Caenorhabditis elegans: one gene and its partners. The protein of the gene in region 3 interacts with the protein of the main gene of each other region in a pairwise test. Each region holds a gene or a part of one and is shown on either strand. Other genes may lie near its edges. The genes, in order: ztf-30, C46H3.2, nhr-21 and nhr-8.

Region 1 (5,016 bases), on a different chromosome or scaffold from region 3:
AATGGTCAAATTTTGACAGCAATGACAATGTTCAATGTGAGCACCTATCAGCACATCAACGAAACAACCCACAAAATAATGACAAAATTGCTATGAAAAATAATAATTTGATGAAAACTGACTTTGCGAAATTTGAGAATTTAGCTGAAACAGAGTTTAACATTAAAAAAAACAGAGCTCAGGATATTGGTAGAGGCTCATGACTAAATTTGGTATTTTTGGGTCGCTTTAAGTGAAAATGGACATCGATTTTTTGTTGGAATTAAAGAGCTAAGAAATGAGCTTTCTCAGATTTCAGTTACCATGGATATTTGGCAGAGGATTTATTTAGTTATTTGTTTATTCTGGATAAGAAATCCGTTTACGTCTTTTGTAAATGTATTTTTCAAAAAAAATTTTTTTTGAAAGAGTACCAAAAATTCTGGAACACACATTATTCAACTTTCTATACTGTTTTTTTACTTTCTTGACTTTCTCTGATCAGTTTCAGTTATTTCCTGGAAGAAACGTAGAATACAGCATTTAAATTTATATCAAGTATGTATTATTATTATATTACAATTATGTATATTCAACGTAAGCACTGAGAATTATGGAGATGGAGACACAGAAGGAACACAACGGATCGGATGATTTTGATTTGTTTGTTTAATATTTGTTTTGGAAATAAAAAGCAAAAAATCCCGCAAACAGGAAGAAATAAGTTAAAAAATATAGTTCTGAGATTGGTAAAAAATATTGCGAAAATTATGAGAAATCTCCAAAAATGAAACAATATTAACATGATAGTAAAGCTTGCGAAGTTTGAGGTTTCAGAGAAATTTGGAAAAAAGATAATTCTAAAAAGGACGTGTCAAAATTGTGTTATTTATGAGAATTCGAAGAAATGAATTCATTTCCGAGGCGTCGTGAGCTTTGTCATTTTGAAGAAATTTCACGGCAAGATTCTGAAAAAATAATTTTGAAATACTTCTTTCTGATCTGAAATCTTACCTGACACTCTAACAATTTCCTTTGGAATAGCTCATTGTGCTCACGGAGCGCGTGTGCTTCCATTCTCAATCTGAGCACAGTTTGTTCCAATCCATTCATTTGGGCATTTGCTTCTAAACTTTCTTGTTGCATCGTACCAATTTTGTGTTCCAACAGTTTGCATTTATTTTCAGAAATCAATATCTTTGTCCTGCTGACGTGGCAGTCGAAGCATTCATGACGTGGACTGATCCTTGAAGAAGAAGATGATGAGGATGGTGAAGCTGTATCAATCAATGGAGATGATATAAGAGCACGATCAGAACACAACTGATGGAATGCACTAAGATCAGACTTGAAGCTGACTGATGAGCAAGTTGGTGACTGTGAAGTATACACATCGGGCTTCTCCACTTCATCTTTTATTTTTTCTTTTGAATCTGCTACAAATATTGGTGCCGTAGCTGAAATATTATCATAAGCATTACAAATATTTTGTATGTAACTTACTAGGTATGGGTTTTGGAAGATTTGCAAGCCATGAAGGTGTCTGAGGTTGAGATCGAATAGGCGATTGAAGAGCAGGGATTGGGATGCTTGCAATTGGAAGAGAAGGTACTGATGATTCAAGGGATTGTGGGGTTGGTAGATTTAGAAGTGGAGTACGGATTACTGAAATCAATAATCTTTTTATGTTCATCTCATATCTGATAGTCTTACACTGGAATGGATCTGTAATGAGGTGGCAGCTTCTGTTGATAACTCCATGAGGAATGACACTATTATTATTGTTGTTGCTGTCATTGTTGTTAGTGGCAGTTTGTAGATGAATATGAAGAAGTGATTTATCAGGAAAAGCCCAATTACAGCAACGGCACATGTACATTCGAGAGATATGATGTTGCTTGAACATATGAGTACGAAGAGATTCACTACCTGCAAATTACAATAGTTTTTTATTATTATTCAAAGTCCCCAATTCAAATACAGTACTCCTATAAAGTTTGTCTACTTATCCCAAAGCCATTATTTGACCCCTTACAATTTCGCTCCAATCCTCCACTTTTTTCCCTTCTGCCCCCACTCTCATCCATTGCGCAACCTCATTCAATTGTCCCCGTTCTCGAAAAGTGAGAACTGTGTTTGCGTCTGCGTCTCCACTATTTCGTATTTCTCCGGATGACCTCAATCGTCCGGAGAATGAAGAAACAGTGAAAATTGAATGAGATCAAGAGGAATCTTTCTCCGGAGAGTGGATGGATAGTAAACAATAATTGTTCATACAGATGCTTATACCCGAACAACAATAAAAACGAGTTTCTTGCGGTGTTTCATGTGATAAACAATTCAGGTGTAAACAATATGCTTGTTCAAATATTATAGGTGGATGCTTTAAAATATAGCAGTGGTTTTGCACTGCACAATTTTGCTCTGCAAAATGTTCTACAGTATCCCTGCTAAACCCGGGAAATGAGGAGATCAAATCAAAAGATGTACTGGAGCTTAATACATTTTTGTAGCAAAAGCTCTCTGAGTCCCTGATCGAACAAGTTTTCATTCTATTTCATATTTTTGTCTCCAGCAGCTTTTCAGCTCAAATGTGCAGCTCATTCTTGTATCAAATGTCATGATTATCTTTCTTTCAATTTCGAAAAATCTGTGATTGAGGATTTTTCTTAATGCTCGGAAGATCACCTCATTGTCAATAAAAAATAAATAACTTCCGACTTACTTGAGATATCTTTTCGGCATACTGTGCATTTGTAGCTTTTGAAGTGAGCCTGCATACGGTGGCGGGAGAGACTTGAAGAATGACAGAAAACTTTTGAACAGATTGAGCAACGGAACGAACCTGAAATTCAGAATCATTATAAAAGTAAGAACCTAATCAGATTTGGTGGACTAATAACAATTCCCAGAACTTACAAACCTTTTAAATCGGGTCGTTTTAACTCAACACCACTTCCACCTTTGGATCCACTGATATCAGTTCCATTCTCAACCTCCACGTCACTACCGTAACCTTCCTCCTCTGTATTTGTGGGTGAATGAATTTTATCGTCTTCCAGCTTCATATCCATTTCAAGATGCATGATTTTGAGCTGAATCATGAAACATGAAGACACATGAAACAATACAAAGGCAGATAAAATGAGGAAGTAAAAAATCTGAAAATCGAATGAAAGAAAAGATGTGTGAGCTCATAGCATTTTGAGCACATAGGCACTTTTCAATGTGTGCAGGCAAAAGGCCATTATGATGACGGAGGAGGAAGAAGAAAGATGCAAAAAGTAATAAAAAAAGCTTAACTACAGGCATCCAGATCAATGACGCTGACGGTAAGAATGATCCATTCTCTTTTTAGTGTATGTCATGTAATCCCAAATCCAGATCATTTTACAAGAATGACTTGAATTTCTAAAATAGAATGTGCTGCAAGGATACGGTAGATTAACTCAGATAACGAATGAATCATTGCATTCAATGTTTTGGAGCAGCAGGAGCACGGGAATTTTATGAGAACGTGTGTGTGAGAAGCTTCAAATTTTAAAAGTAAATCGGAGGAGCTTGAAATCAGCAATCGTAGTATTATCTTTCAACATTATTGCCTGGTTTCGCGTACCTAATATATTTACAGAATTTTTGGGGCAACAGTTTCCAAGAATAACTTGTTTGGAGGCTTTTCCAAACTGTGACTCTTTGCTCCATTATTTAGAAGACGTTTTTTAATTTTGAACTCTTTCGTAGAAAAAAGAAGAACTTAGTGTGAACGTTGAGTAGCCAATAAATGGCAATTTGTCAGTATTCACTTATTTTAGGAGACTCTAAAAAGACAATCTCTGGAGTTTTTAGAAAACTCTAAAAAATGCTGGTCATGTTGGACTATTATTAGTGTATTCAAGTTTTGACATAGTCTCTTGTTTTGAAATTTATGAAATGGTTAAAACAGCTAGATTTAAAAATTTCATCAGCCATTGTTTGATCATCTGGGCAAATCTTAAAGCATAATCTTCTAATCTTTTTTGAGAGACCTGTTTTTAAAATCCAAAGAAAATCCTTCGAAGAAAGTTTATGGTTTGTACTTCAAAATCGTCGGACAAGTTGTTTCTAAGAAAGTGAAGCAAAAAAGGTTTAATGATGGATTTTGCATAAGAAAACTAAGTAGGTTTAAAGTTTAATCGCGGGGGAGTGTTTGCAAAAAAGGCACATCTTTAGGGACTTTTTTCTAGATTTAACAAATGAAAAAGCCGTGCAAATTTCAGTTTACTTGGTTCCCATATCCCAAAAAGAGACCATAAACATTAGATTAAAACTAGGCACTTGTAATAAGCCTAATGACGTGGCACCGAAATGTTGCAACCCGTGACTATGAACTATACAAGGTCAAACTGTCAATACACCTATCCTTTCCGCTAATTATCCATCGTCACCAAGACGGCTAAGACGGAAAAAAGATGAAGACGGACGGCAATGGATTGAAGGGAATAAGACGAAAGTGTCAATACGCAAAGACTAGGTCAAACCGGAGAAGATGAGAAAGTATAGAAGAATAAGAGATACAGACTAGAGGAATGACGTAAGGTTTCCAGGAGAAGCTAGGTGAGATGAAGTGGAAGTAAAGAATTTGGAAAAAAAATGTGCTAGAATTGGGGAGAAAATCTCAATAAATTGTAAGCATGTGAAGGCAGTGGGGAATGGGTTCTGAATTATTTCGAACACATAAGCTCCGGCAGTTGGGTTGCTACTTGTTAAAATACATCCTTAAAATTAGCAGAAGGAAACATTTCCATTTCAGAGTGATAGAAGTTCACAAACTACTAATTTGGAACTTTCCTTTTTCTGGAAAAAAGTTGACACCTCTGAAATGACACCATATTCACTAGTGTTCCTGAAAAGTTTTCCGTATTAGTTTTCATTAACAGCAAAAAAAAGTTGGCCCGAATGAAAAAAAATAGGCGGATACTCGGATGGTATATCCTGCCCATCGACAAGATGATCCTTGCTTCAATTGGTTTTAAGCCGCTTCCCAGATTTGATGAGCGA
Region 2 (4,586 bases), on a different chromosome or scaffold from region 3:
ATCGGGCAAATTGTGAGGAACGAGTTGACCGAACTTTTCTACCCTTCCGGTTTCGTGGAGATGGTTGATGATGGTTTTTTGGGGATGCTTGAGAGTCGCAGAAAGTTCGCGGTTCGTTGCTCTTGGATCATCTTCCAGGGCTCTCGAAATATCCTCGTCGATATTCAAACGAGAGCGATCTTATCTTGGTTTATCATCGAGATCGTAGTTCTTTTTCGTGAACTTTTCGAACCAAAACTTCATGGTATTATAGGTGACAGAGTTCTTGCCTAACACTGCACACATGTTACGACGAGCTTCGTTGCAATTGCAGATTTGGGGGAACTCGTACAGAAAAACCCATCGGAGGGCGTGACGTTCGGCGAGCAAATTCTCGGTCATTTTGAACAGCACCCAAAAGTTTTTTTTTAATATATTAAACATGCACATTACGTACTATGCAAAAAAAACCGAATCAGAAAAAAATGAATTAACGCTGAGAAATGAAGAAAAGTACAAATTTTGCAAAGACTTTTCGACCAACCTAATAGTTCCTTTTGAAAATTTCAGAAATTAGAAACTAGCTAAAGATGTATCAGAGTGGTCTGCGGAGTTAAAAAAAATAAAATAGACCGAAATTGGTGAATATTTTTAAAAATAGATACATTAACCTTTTCTGAATTTTTATTGATTTTTTAAATTTCGCAAATGAAAAATTAGAAAGCCTGAATAATTTCTAGAGCTCCATATGTAATTTATGGATTTTTTGTAAATTTTTAATTTTCTGTTTTATGTTTAGATACATCGGTTTTTGAAATTTTCTAATCAAAAGTGAAATATCGTTTTTAAACGTAACTTTATTTTTGGAAATGTAAAATTTTGCATTCATTTGAAAACGAATTTAAAAATAATTAAGCCACTTATTCCTTTTTTTTCAAAATGGAAAAGTTAATACTCTTGTAATAATTTGATTTTTTTTAACTAAAAGCTAGTAGCCATTACATCTTTAAATTTGATTTTTCAAAGATTTTGACCATGGCTTTTCTATTATTCTGAACTATGTAAGTTTTCGTTCAATGGTTTTTACACAAATTCTGGCATACAAAATAACAGATAGCCATTTTTATTCAACTTGGAAAATTAACAATAAAAAATTAGGCACTTACATTCAGCAAAAACCGAACAACTTGAACTTGTCCAGAGCCAGCTGCCATGTGAAGAGCCGACCCGCTTTCTGTCACAAAATTCAAATCCCAATTGTGTTGAAGTAACATTGATAAAATCTGGAAATTTAATTTTAGCCTAGATTTCTAGTAAGCTGAAAATTTTGCCAAACCTGAACTTGACCACTTCCAGCCGCCAGGTGGAATGCCGAAGCTGTGTGGAGATGGTCCATATATTGGAAATTGATCTTTCTTAGGCCACAGCTGAATAATCGCTCCAGCATCTGAAATTTCCTGTTTAGCAATGCAAGAGGTAGGTAGTAGGGCATCCATACAGGCGGCAAAAGAACTGCCGTGTCTATCTCGTGCCGCAAACCGCGCCTCTTGTATGGTACGACGCAAAACCGAAAGGTGTCGGCCGCGTTGAAAGATCAACTTTTTGCACTATGAGGTATAAACACTAAGCTTTTTGCATCTCGCCATAGTGCAAAAATAAGTGCAGATATTTGGCAGGCGTCCGGTCTTGAAACCGCGCCTCCTTCCCTAGTAGGTAGCAAACCTTTTCTTGTCCATATTCACATGCCAAATCGAATGGTGTTCTTCCACTTCTGTCAACTAAACAAATGTCTGCATGGTAGTAGATGAGTAGGTTAAACTGAAAATTTTTAATTCACTTTAATGAAATTACTTTGTTTTAAATTGAAACATTTTTATACACCCTTAATTCTGTCATTATTAAAAAAAGCTTTAAAAAAACTTCCATTTTTTATAAACTTTACGTAACTTCTCAATTTTCAATTAATAAAGAATCCCTGATTTAACACAGTTTTCTGTTTTTTTTTTCAATTCGAAAAATCTAGAACTTTAGTGACTTTTTTTTTGAAAGGGTCTCAAAACAAAATAAAACTGACGCAGTTAATATATTTTCAGTCAGTGATAGAATAGTGTTTGAGATTTTTGGGAGCATAATTTATTAACATGCTGAATCCGAAAAAAGCAATAATTCATTACAAAAGTTTTTTATTTACCCATTTTTTTAAAAGATGGGGTCCCATAGAACTGACACATAACTTTTCCAATCCAAAAAACCTACATGATCAATCATACCGTCTTTACATGCAATATGACATGCCGAAATTCCATCATAATCTACGGAATCCACGTTTGCACCGCCTTTCAGTAAAAGTGACGTCATTTCGGTATCACCGTAGGTGATGGATAAGTGGAGAGCAGTTTGGCCTAAAAATTGAAAGTTTAATACAGTTTGGTGCACGTTTTAGTATTTTTTGAAGTCGAATTTTGAAATTGCCGCTCAGAAAATGCTTGATAATTCAAAACGGGTTTTTTTTTTAATTTTGCAAAAACTATTATTTTTTAAGAAATTTCAAATTACCTCTACAATCCGGCTCATCTATCCACACTGATTTCGAATCTATAAAATTCTTTGCCATAACTGTATTTCCCATTTTGACTGCATTATGTAAAGGTGTAAATTCTTCATTATCACAAAGGTCTCTTTTGGGTATGCTAAGAAGATCTGAAATAAACGAAAAAAAGTGTTTTACTCCCAGAAATTATTTTTTCTCAGTTAAAAAATTTTTAAGAACATATATTTTACAATTATAAAAATGAAAAACTGAGCTTCTTTTCAAAAACCAAACAATCTCAATTTTCTGCTCCTATTTTAACAGGAGCACTGACCATGTCACTGACCAAGTATTTTTTATACTGACCATGCCTAGAGTTGCTAAAATCCTTAAATTTTTATAAGAAATTACGCCAAACTTGTTTTTTCCACTTTTGATGTTAATTCTGCCACATGATCTCACCCACCTGATATACTTGATGAAAACCTCCTAAGAAGTTTTTTGCTGGACATACCAAAAGATCTCTGCAAGTTTAACTAAATATTTAAAAAAAACCGAATTCTAAAAAAGGATAAAACATCAAAAACTGCAGAAAGAAGCATTTTCAATCACAAAAATACACATTTTTAGTGCACATCCCTTCTCCACTTGAGTACTTCCGCCAGAGAACGAAAGACAGCAAAAGGTACGGGTGGATATTCGGGGGGTAGAGAGAGGGCGACGACTTTTGTGATAACAAACGAATGGAAATCTACGCAAATAATACAATCCACTTTTGCTATTTTTTTGTGGCGGTTGTGGCTCAAGAAGATCAAGGAAAACAAATTTTAAAAAAAGAATCGTAATAATTAGTAATGGGCTTTAAAAATTTCCTTAAAATATATACCGAATTTAAAAAAATCTTAAACTATTCAAATTTTATCGTTTTGGAATTGACTATAATTATGAAACGCTTGAGCCTTCTAAACTACAGCTACTATAAAAATACTTAAAATTTTGGAAAGCTTGGTTAAAAATGACCAGAGTTGAAATTTAAATAAGCTATTTTTAATTATTCTCAAAATCATTTTTTTAAAGTATATAAATCAAAAGCTCTGGTTTTGTTGAAATTTCCGACGAACAAACTTTTAAGAAAAAAAAAATCGTTTTTATATATTTTTTATTTCAACGTAATTTTCCAAACTTCCATTTTTAATTCTCTTATTTTATTTACTGGCAAATAATTTTAGAAACATAATTTACCTTCAGAAATTTCCATTATATTTTCAGAAAAATTCGAAAAAATTAATTTTCTATAATTTTTGTATTTCCATTACAAAGTCAAAAAACTGAATATGAAAAAAGGAAAAAATTACAAATTTAGTGGACGCGTCATGCAAGTGACAGAATAATGATATTAAAAAAGATTAAGCTTGTTTTTTGAAATAAATTTTCTTTTCGTTTGCCAAAAATGAGTTTGTCCGTTTTTAAATTATTTTTGGTTATTTTCTTTTTAAAAAACTTTAAGCAGACTAGAAATGTTCACAAACAAAGTTTGTTATTAGTTTCTTGCACTGACCAACCTTAGAGTGCACTGACCACTTTATTTTCTGCACTGACCAAAATAATAAATTAAAAGGTTTTTGTGAATATTTTCTGGAACATATCTAAAAATTAATTTTTATAACGAAGCAAGTTTGTTTTGATACGGTACCCGGTCTCGGCCAACAATTTTTTATGCAAACTGAATAAAATAGAAAGTTAGAGGAAAAAAAAAAAGAAATTATGAAAAATTAGTGAAGCAAACATTTGTCGTCTCAAGACCATCCAAGATATTTGTGTTTAAAAAAATCGCAAAATTAAATCATTTTTGTGACGATTTTCCCTGTATCTGTACTCCTTCGAGAGATACATATAAAACTTAAAAAGAATAAAAATGTTAATTCTCATAAACGCCCTTTTCCTCTTCATCATCATCTCATTGTTATCATTATTATGTTCCGTTTTCCAGATAAGAGACCTTGAGATGAGATTTGAACAAGGGAATTCGGACGCCCAAAATCTGTGTCTCTCCATCAATAAATGTGTATGTACATTT
Region 3 (4,788 bases):
GCAAAGATCTCTTCCATTTTTTACAAACGAATTGTTCTCAATATTTTTGTCATAAAAATGCGTATTTTGACTGCATACAGTTGATCTCTTCGACCTCTCTATCACAAAAATATAAAAAATCTGTGCGATCTTTAATCATCTCCATTTCTGATCTGTCGCGACGCCTTCTCCCACTACCATCTGTTTTGTTAATCACGATCTGACACGTGGTTACTTTAAGTGCATAGTTTGGAAAAAACAAATGTTTCAAGAAAATAGGAACCAATTTGTTGTAAATTCTCATCAGAATAGAATAAAATATAAAGCCATTAACCCTGACTTCTAGATTTCTTCCTCCGAAAATGTTCAAAAAATCACGTAGCAGGGACACATCGTATATTATCGTGTAGAGCGCCAATCCCCGAAAACCACAACATTCTGATCAAAATTAAAGATCAAAGCCTTTTTCTTCTTATTTATAGCAATGAGTTTTGGTTTCAACACGTTCAAATCCCCCTTTGAGCATTGAACAAATCAAAACGGAACTACATGATTTACGTCATTAAGCACGACTATTATTAAATTTTATAATAATAACATACATCAATCCAAGAACAAAAATTTCACGGCATGTAAAAAATGTCTTGCAAAAAGGCAAAGAAAGAAAGAGCAGTGAGAGTTTAGAGAAAAAGAGTCACAAAAATTTTGTGACCATTGAAGTTAACAAAAGATTTCAAACCAGAAGGTGTTCAAACGAATAATAATGATTGGAAAATTGTGTTTTTTTTTTGAAAAAAAAACTATTCACAGACGAGGAAAATTAAATAATAATGAGATTATTCAGAGAAAGAACTAAAGGACATGCTGGAAGATGATATCAAAAGTTCGTTTTCCACCAGTGCAAATGAAAAAGTATAAAATGACTTTCAAAAGTTTTAAAACTGCAGTGGTCCGTATCAAGTTTCATTTGACACTTACTAGTGAAGCTTAAGCTTTATTTCAAAATTTTTGAAGTTTGTGCTGTGGACTTTTTTTAAAACATGGAATTGAAATTTAGAAAATTTTGTGAATTTATAAATTATAACAATTACCTCTTTGACGGTGCATTCTGAGAGTAGTAGTTGTGCTCTTCAAAAATATAGCGATCTCTGATATAGTATGATCTATGGATTAGCCGAGAAGCAATCAGCACGAATAGAGAAATGTACAAAAAATGATTCGGCTGCTAATAGTGCAAGAACTGTTCACACTTTTAAAGAGGAGTCTCGCTCATTTTTTCCTACTGTCCATTCATATTGTGATCTGTTCCGAGCAGCATAAACTACAGTCAACTCTTCCATTTCTCATTGCGACGAACTTTGTTCCGATTGTTTGTTCCCATTAATTTTGCGCTCGCGCGGAGGAGTCTAGGAAAAAGAGAAATAAACAGAGGAAGAATAGGGGGAACAACGAACAATTTTTACTTTTTTGTTTTTAATTTAATCCTATCACTTGATAGGGAACCCTTCATTGCTGGTAAAAATAATTATAGTCGAGGAATACTTGCAAATCCTGCAATTTAATTATAGCTATCAAAATTTTTACTAATGTGAAACCTTTTGATCTTTTGATATCTCGCAAGTGATTATAGAAATATAAGGTTGAAATCAGTGCTTATAATCCGATTAAGATGATATTAATCATTTAAAATTTAGAAATATGTTTTGCTTACAAAAATCAAAATTGTCATAACAGGAAAAAAAAAATACATGAATCAAAAACTGTAAATTTATTTAAAGGCGAAACTGCATAAATATGGATTTCAAAAGATATTGTTTTAAAATATTCAAAATATAGTTTTTTCTTACATTTTGGCAGTTTGAATTTGGCAGATTATTATAACGTAGAAAGACAAGATATCAGAAAAAAATTCTTCGAAATTCTAGTTAATTTCTTTATTCTTTCATGTTTTCCATCTTCGTCATAAACTCCTCTAGGCTTTTGATTAGAATTTTTATTTCCTCCCTGGTCTCATATGTGTTTTTCTTCTAGTTCGTTGAGGCAGACAGGAATGCGTGTTATTTCAATGATCTTGTCATATAAGACCAGAAAAACAAGAGTACAGAAAACAGAAATAAGGATAGTAATTCGATGCAGAATATGTTAATTAGCAAAACTAAATTACCAATGAACAAAATGAACGCAAAACTATTATCACAAAAAAGAGAAAAAGGATGAAATAAAAGAATGATATGAAAACAGAGGACATGAAATGAAATGAAGTAATTCATGACATCATGAAAATTAGATAGGTTTGAAAGTCGAGATGACCCGTGGAGTTTCTATGGGCATAACTGCCCAAGTGGCAGACCCATTTCCACACAATTGTACTTTAAAGAATAGAAAAGAGAGGACGTGAGAGTATGGAGCAATGGGAGGTGAGCAACGAAACAACCGGCTGTGCGGAACAAAAAGTGAAAATGGGAGGGAAGGTGTGAAGAGCCACTGAATGAAAGATGTGTTCGGTTGGTAGGATCATTGAACAGATTATCAAGGAAAAAAGAAGGAAGTAGTTACTTGTATGCTTATGGCTGGTGCCAATTTTTACCGGCTTATCTGCGATAAAAGAAACAAAAGAAAAATTGTTGGTTTAATTTGAACTTTATTAAAGGCTACATTGGTAAAAACTTAATTAGGAAAAATACGAATAAAATATAAATTTAGTAAGCACCAGGATATGTACGCAACATTAAAGTTTGGTATTCAATCCTTGAGAAGAACAAAACATTTTAAGTTGGAATGTTTATTATTCACAGCCACAACTCATGTTTTCTATCAATTGAATACAATTGAATTTCTATAAGTCAATGTTAGCTAAAGTATGTTTAAAAGATTATAAAGTTATGGATATAGTCTGGTCAAGATGTTATATGATAGAGAAATCAACAAGAAGAGGAAAACATAAGAAGATAGGAAAAGGAAGCAATGAACAATTCGCAGGAGAAAAGGGAATCACTTACTTGATCTAGGGCCCATGATTTGTGACGATTTGATTCTGTGAAGAGGACACCTGTAAGACGAAACAGTTGGATATCACGGGAGGAGTAATTAATGAGAGAAAAGGCAATAAAAACATTATCAACAAACATACAAACTACACGTGTTTGAATTATTGAAGTATGATGGAAGAAAGAGGAAAATGAAAGCGAAAATGAATATTTTGGTTCTCAATTAACGAACACTACAACCTACAAAATTGATACACACGGAAACAACTAGATTGTATGATATCAAATATCCGGTTTGATTTCAAAGTTCAAATGTTTAAAAGGTAACCTTTTGGGTAGATAAACTCAAGCTTTAAATTTGCCATATGAGGTTGGTTCTGAAGACTATAACATCTTTGAGACAGAAACATACTTTACTTTCATTGTGGTTCTAGCCTCTAACAATAAGTACCTACATTTTTACAGTTTCCTTAAAATAATAATTTGGCTGCAAAAAATATTACTTGAGAGAAGAACAAAAATGAGATAACCGATAAATCCGTAGTCAATTCTGAACTACGCATATCAAAAACGTTTTGAAATCGGTATAAAATATCTAATCACCATTTTTTAGTTAAAATTGCGTACTAGAAAAGTCTGAAATATTTAATTTTAACATCAGTATCACTTTTTCTAACTACACACTACACAAATGCCGAAATTATTTGTGGTCATGGGGGAAGCAAAATATGCACAAATTTGAAATGTCGCATTAACTTTTTGAACTAACCGATAAGAAAACTACCTCAACTGATCAACAAAAACAAAGATATAAATACAGGCTTTTCATAATAATAGTTCTACGCAAGTACCAAATACAAAACCTGGTTGCATCTATGTAAAAAACAAAAAAAAATCATAATTTTAGGTGGCAAATCCATGAATGATATAACCTTTTGTTATTAAAAGAAATACAACATACTGAGTAGTTTCAAAAATTATTAAAAAGTCAAATTAAGGGAGAACTCATGAAAAATTAATTTTTAAGCTGTAAAAACGAAAGCCCATTAGGGATGACAATACAGAGACGAGAGCCCAAATTCTAAACCAACTGCAAAAGGCGACTTATTACTTTAACTCGGGTTAAATTTAGTTATGTAAATCTTATTATATTGAAAACTATTATGTTTCGTGACCCATGACCAACAACATTTTTCCATAATTTCTTTCTTCTCGCTAAACTGGGTATATCTCCGAGATTAATCTAAAAGAAAGTGCATATTTTAGGTCAACTCATCAGAAAGTCATCAGAAAGTCAAATCAGAACTACATATGTTCGTAGTGAACTTTTCTGCTTAATCTGAAACTTGACAACCATACCAAATAGGTGTTAAAGTAAAAGTAGGAAGCATGAAGATAAGTACGGCAGTATTCACACGGTACACACACCTGTCCTACAAGGTATACGGGAACCGAATCGTGCAAACACGTACATGGAGATGAAGATGAGAGACAGAGAAACCCGTAATGAATAGTGTACTGGAATGTAAAAGACGCAGACATTAAAGGGACGACTATTGAAACACGCGCTCGAAATGTTCTTTGCTCGCTGGTGGCGGACGGCGGGTGTGGAAAAAACGCGACTGGAGACACAAATTGGAACATTATTTTATCATTTTTCTTACGCACTCTGAATGAAGACCGCCTTTTTTGGGGACAGTCAGATGACTTTTTTGACACGTCATGAAGATTATCAGGGGCCAATTGGCTTAGGACGGAACAACAGCTAATTATTACATCAGTTCAAGGACTCTAAGCTAACATGTCAATGTCACGTGGTTGT
Region 4 (5,336 bases), on a different chromosome or scaffold from region 3:
ACCACAACAACTACTACTGAAGCTCCAACAACTACACCAGAAGAAGAAGAGGAAGAAGTTGTGACAGCTGCCGTGGAACAGGAAGAGGAAGATGATGTTATTGAAGCAGAAGAGTTAGTTGAAGATGAAGAAGAAGATGTAACAACCACCACCACCACTGAAGCTCCAGTTACACGTGCTCAACGTGTCAAGAAAAACAAAAAGAGAGCTGTTGTGACAAAGCATCAATGCTTGAACCTTCGTAGCTTCGCACGTCAATTCTTGTTTGATACCGTTGAAGAGTTCGCAAAAGAGCACTGTTACTTTATTGAGAACTATTATCCAGCACTAACATGTGCTCGTTCTCATGCTTATGTTGCCAAGTGCCAAAAGTGGTTGAAAGAGGAGTAATTAATTAATACCTTTATATTAATTTTTATTTTGATTTCGATCCAGATCTACGTGTATTTGTTTGTAATATTTTCTCCATCTTTCTGCCCTTGACTTTTGTGCAATTTTCTCAAAAACTTTCTCATGTTAATAAGTGTGCAATATGTGCAATAATTCATGGTTAATAAATGGTTATTCAAAAGAACATAATTCTCGTATCAGAGGATCCAATTGAGCAATATCTAGTCCATAAAACACACGAAGTAAGGTCCTATTCACACGATGAAGCTCGACGACTTGATTCAGAAGATTACTGTATGCAATGTCAGCACGTGATTTACCATATTCAAATGTAAGAAGTCTGAAAGTAGGACAATATTAAAAATGTTATAATCAAAAAGTTATACAATACGTGCTTTTCTCGTACAGTACTTACTTCAAGAGCATCTGGAAATATTTTGCTTGTGTTGAGTGCACTCGTTTACTATCACGTAAGTTGGAGACATCTGAATTAATAACTTTAAAACGAATCAATTTTGAAAAACTGGCTCACGAGGATGAAATATAACAGCTGCATTGAAAATGAGCATCAAATGTTCATTATTCCTCACATCTTCTCCAAACGTTGAAAGCAAGTTCATGTGTGCTTTGTAATGTTCTTCAAGTTTTGGATTCTTAAGAACTTCCACCTTTACCTCCATTTTTCCTCGTACTCCAAATGAATGATTCCAGCTGTTATCACTCTTGTCATAGGCCATAAGACCCCGCACAATCAACAACTCCCCAAATCCACTTTTCAAGAGATTTTTCCTATCGTCCACGTGAAGCTCTCGGAATAGACTTAATTGGCATGCCATGTTAACAATCCTTCGTAGAGCTTCTTCTATTATTCTAAAAACTCCATCAATGCTTTTCGGATTGTGCCATTGAATTAGTGGAGCATTTAATGGCTCATTTTGTACATGAAGTTCTTCTAAAAGAGTTATCTCGTCTTCATTCAAAACTCCAATGTATTTGTCAATCTCTGAAAAGTTGCAAAATTCAAACTTATGGATGACATGAAACAGTACTTGAATGAATTTGTTCTAGCAAATTTGGAGGTAGAGTTTCAGTTACTGGAACTGTGGACACTGCTTGAATTGGAGTCCATGTTCTTTCAGGCATTGGAGGAAAATTCAAAAAGTTGGCTGGCGCAGCCATTTGGGCCATAACACCAAATTGAAATGGTGATAACATTGGAGGATATTGCGATGGCATTTGTGGAGACAGTTCTAAATTTTAGACGTATATTCTTTACTTCAGTACGTATTAATAAAAGTGTTTTCTTGTCGGCTCGGAAGGCGGACGTAACTCTTCTGCCTACTTTGAATTCGTAGTGATAGCCTTCTAGATGAGTTATGTCTGGCTTGTTGTCAAACATTTTTGACAGTGAGGTTCTAGCGTTCAGCTTCACGAGCTGCTCCTAAAAACATACCAGTTATTGAGCTCGGTATAGACGCCGGAGAAACTGTGTAGTTGGTTGGAGATTGAGTAACAAGTTGAGAAGTATTGTAACCACTGGAATCATGTGAAGATGGAGCACAACTGATAACCGACATTGGAGAAAGAGTTGAAGTAGATGAAGAATAAAACGAATCCGAATGATGAAGATGATGGGAGAATGATATATCTTGTGGACTGTTCTGAATATAAAATAATTGATTTTCTTGTATTTTAAACTCTACTAACCACAGCTGTTGTATCCTTTGGTTCGTATGCGGTGAGTCTTTGAGTAATTGGATAGAATCCACACTGGCATTTGCATGTACATCTGTCTTTTGATTTTCTGAAAGTTCAATGTACGATTGTCTGTTACTAGAGTGACGTAGTTTTGTGGTCTTGTGTGATCTACTGATTAGATAATTGTACTTTCTCATACGGTACATATCACAGGTTATCGAGAGACCACTTTAATTAAATAGATTCAATTGAATAAATGTGAGAACGTGCTAAGGCTGCCATGGTAGGCACTTCTTCATGCCTACATACGTGCGCGGCTACTGTTTTTGCATTCTGGGGTAAAGGCGTTTTTTTGTTATTTTCCCGTTATATTATAGTAAATTTGTTGAAACAGTAGTTTATTATTTCCGGATAATTTCATTGAAACTTACTCATTAGCTTTATTGATAAGCTTTTCAAGTAATGCTTTGGGGACACTAATTTGTTCTTCATCATCATTTTCCAAATCTTCTTCAGTATCATCTACTTCCACTTTCAAGTTATTCTTCATATCAGGCTTCTTTCTTTTGAATTTTCCAGAAACAATTGAACTCTTCGGTTTCAAATCATTTAACCATTCACTGTTCATTCCAACAGCAAAACATTTATTCAATCGACAAGCTTGGCAAAACTTGCGAGATGCTGATGTGATTTGACAAGAATCAGAGAAAGGACATTTAATTTCCTTAACACAAAATTTTTAACAACTTGAGTATGCTTTTTTTTTTAAAACCTTATGCTTTGAAGCATTTCGCCTGAAAAACGCCTTACAAGATTCGCAAGTGAGTACACCAAAATTGTATCCATTTGCACGGTCGGAGCAAACCTAAAATTAATTACAATTGTTGGTTTAGAAGTATAAATGAAAAAACGTTTTTCTATTATATTTTTACAAAAATACCACCAGATTTGTAGTAATCCACTATGGAACTCATCTTACGTTTTGGAAAAGACGATATGTATCCAAACGGAATTTTCTTTTTGATTTTTAGGTCAAAAATACGGTACCAGGTCTCGGCACGACAATCTTTGTTCAGTACAAAAAGCTGTGTGCATTTGAAGATTACTGTAATTTCAAGCTGTGGAATTTTCATTGATAATTCATAGCTATTAATACTTTTTTAAAAACATTTATGTGTTTTATTTTAGTTTTTCACGTTAAATATGCATGTTCTTCTAAAGTTTGAAATTACAGTACTCCTTAAAGACTTGTCTTGGCGAGACCGGATACCGTATTTTTTAAGCAAAAATCGAAAAATCTCACGCCGTTTCCAAAATAAAATTACAACTTTCTGATGGTTTTTTCAACTTTTAAACCAGCGTCAAGAGGCTCTTCAATAAAGTGATTATATTCTAAATAATATCAAAACTAACTGTGCAAATTCTGCCAGCAGGCTCTTTTGGTGGAACAGCAGACCTTCGAGACTCGTCCATCGATGGAGAAGACGAAGGCATGGAATGACGAAATTTTTGTTTTAGTGATTAAAATGTTGTTAGGTTTTGCAGATAAGTCACACCACAAGTGGAATAAGATACGAATAATAATCAGTGATTATATGAGCGACGCATAGTTAACTGTGATTCACGTATAGTTAAAAAGGACGATTGAAAGGGCGCAATAGTTTGTATGAAAGACTATGGGGTTTGCTTATCAGTGTGCGAAGTGAGCACAAATATTTATTGATTTTTGTCAAACCAATGCGCTGATTGATAATTTTATGAAGTCTTATCGTTGACTCTCGTATATTTTTCAGGGACCAAAATCCAGAATCCAAATGCCAAAATTCAGATTTATTTTGTTTTTTGGAACACAACAGAAACAATTAAAGAAGTAAAATAAAACTACGGTATTTCGGTTCTATAACAAAGATGAAAGTTTTAGATATAGTTGTATGCTACATCTTCTTCGGATTCCACAAATGCCATTTCTAGCTTCACTGGTTGTTTCAGAAGAATGGAAAGAAATTCTTCTGCAAACCCGAACATCCAGTAGATTCTTCGAATATCGAGTCGACGCGAATATTGAAGGAATCCGGCAACGATCAGTACGTTTCCTCGTCGTTTGATTACAATCTGGAAAAATGTGAAGTTTTGCAAACTTGGATAAGAGAAATAGATACTATACTGAATTTTAAAATTTTTTTGATAAGTTATTACCTCATTTCCACTAACGACTAAATTTTGTGGGAAAAATCCTCGAATGAACCGACGAACAACTTCATCTTGTGCAACAACCAGTGGTTGAGATTGACGGAATTCTAAAAACAAATTTTAAAAATTGTTAAATCGTAATTCAGTTTTGGAACAAACCTTCGAGATTCTGTGAATGCCATGTGAGCCACGATTTTCGCACGCCAATATGATGTGGTTTTTGAGCCATTTCGTATGTAAGAAGTTGTGTTCTATTTGATGTAGACGGAAATTGCAAAATATAAATGGGAAAATAATTGAAAGATCAACAAACCTTGGTTTTACCCGCTCTGTTCTTGAGAAGCATCGATGTTGTCGAAATTTGACGACTGCTGAGGGCTTCGACATGTTGTATACTTCGAAGCATGTCTGAAATTTATAAAAATAATATTTTAAGCAGAAAAATATATTTATAAAAGCGATTCAGTATAAAAGCGAGGCAAATGCAATATTTTTAAAGAAAAAAAATTAGCTAAAAAAAGAATATTGCAAGTGCGCTCCCCAGGACTGATACACTGTCACGTCAGAATGCACAGATTTCTCAGAGACAAATTTATTAATTTATTCTATTTAATTCTTAAATTCCCTTTGCAATCCAGTTTTATTCAATTTTAAATAATTTTATGTTGTTCTAGAACATGTTCTTTTTTGATTATTAGTGTTATTTGTAATTTCAGATTTTCAAATGTCCGATAAATCGTCAAAAGCAGAAAAGAAGAACGATGAGTGTTACAAGTGAGTCGAAGTAAAAATCATGAATTCAATAATCATGTATATATTTCTTCAGCACGGCAGCGATAACCAACAACGTCGAAGCTCTCGAGTTTGGAAGAACGTGTCAGTCGTGCGCCGCCGGTATGGCAGCAGGTAATTTTCAAAAAAAATCATTTAAAAAATCCTTCTTTTACAGGAATTCTCGGACTTACCGGTTTTCAAGGCTTCATTCTCTATTTCATTTCTGTTGGAATCCAGGCCGTTATATGGAACGTGAAATCACAAGGAAACTGGTTGAGCTACTT

The links.
Region 1: the proteins of nhr-21 (region 3) and ztf-30 interact in a two-hybrid assay, tested with the Caenorhabditis elegans proteins (one large-scale study listed by BioGRID).
Region 2: the proteins of nhr-21 (region 3) and C46H3.2 interact in a two-hybrid assay, tested with the Caenorhabditis elegans proteins (one large-scale study listed by BioGRID).
Region 4: the proteins of nhr-21 (region 3) and nhr-8 interact in a two-hybrid assay, tested with the Caenorhabditis elegans proteins (one large-scale study listed by BioGRID).

The regions. Positions count from the first base shown.
Region 1 is NC_003281.10:8,594,797-8,599,812, forward strand, and holds ztf-30 (Zinc finger transcription factor family protein 30), read right to left. Parts: upstream 3,075-5,016; 5' UTR 3,048-3,074; coding exon 2,903-3,047; intron 2,825-2,902; coding exon 2,705-2,824; intron 1,909-2,704; coding exon 1,693-1,908; intron 1,645-1,692; coding exon 1,483-1,644; intron 1,437-1,482; coding exon 994-1,436; intron 948-993; coding exon 840-947; 3' UTR 514-839; downstream 1-513.
Region 2 is NC_003284.9:1,227,726-1,232,311, forward strand, and holds the start of C46H3.2 (Caskin-2), read right to left. Parts: upstream 3,034-4,586; 5' UTR 3,022-3,033; coding exon 2,976-3,021; intron 2,680-2,975; coding exon 2,536-2,679; intron 2,382-2,535; coding exon 2,236-2,381; intron 1,798-2,235; coding exon 1,702-1,797; intron 1,427-1,701; coding exon 1,316-1,426; intron 1,263-1,315; coding exon 1,146-1,262; intron 1-1,145.
Region 3 is NC_003280.10:7,337,469-7,342,256, reverse strand, and holds the start of nhr-21 (NR LBD domain-containing protein), read right to left. Parts: upstream 3,029-4,788; 5' UTR 2,995-3,028; coding exon 2,979-2,994; intron 1-2,978.
Region 4 is NC_003282.8:7,709,395-7,714,730, reverse strand, and holds nhr-8 (Nuclear hormone receptor family member nhr-8), read right to left. Parts: upstream 3,588-5,336; 5' UTR 3,583-3,587; coding exon 3,502-3,582; intron 2,954-3,501; coding exon 2,861-2,953; intron 2,813-2,860; coding exon 2,520-2,812; intron 2,195-2,519; coding exon 2,098-2,194; intron 2,052-2,097; coding exon 1,844-2,051; intron 1,641-1,843; coding exon 1,440-1,640; intron 1,394-1,439; coding exon 923-1,393; intron 876-922; coding exon 806-875; intron 731-805; coding exon 562-730; 3' UTR 533-561; downstream 1-532. Other genes in the region: F33D4.6 (aECM cysteine-cradle domain-containing protein), read left to right, coding at 1-390; mrps-24 (Small ribosomal subunit protein uS3m), read right to left, coding at 4,006-4,200, 4,285-4,385, 4,438-4,543, 4,592-4,684; emc-6 (ER membrane protein complex subunit 6), read left to right, coding at 5,003-5,052, 5,105-5,184, 5,228-5,336. UniProt on the Caenorhabditis elegans protein: Orphan nuclear receptor.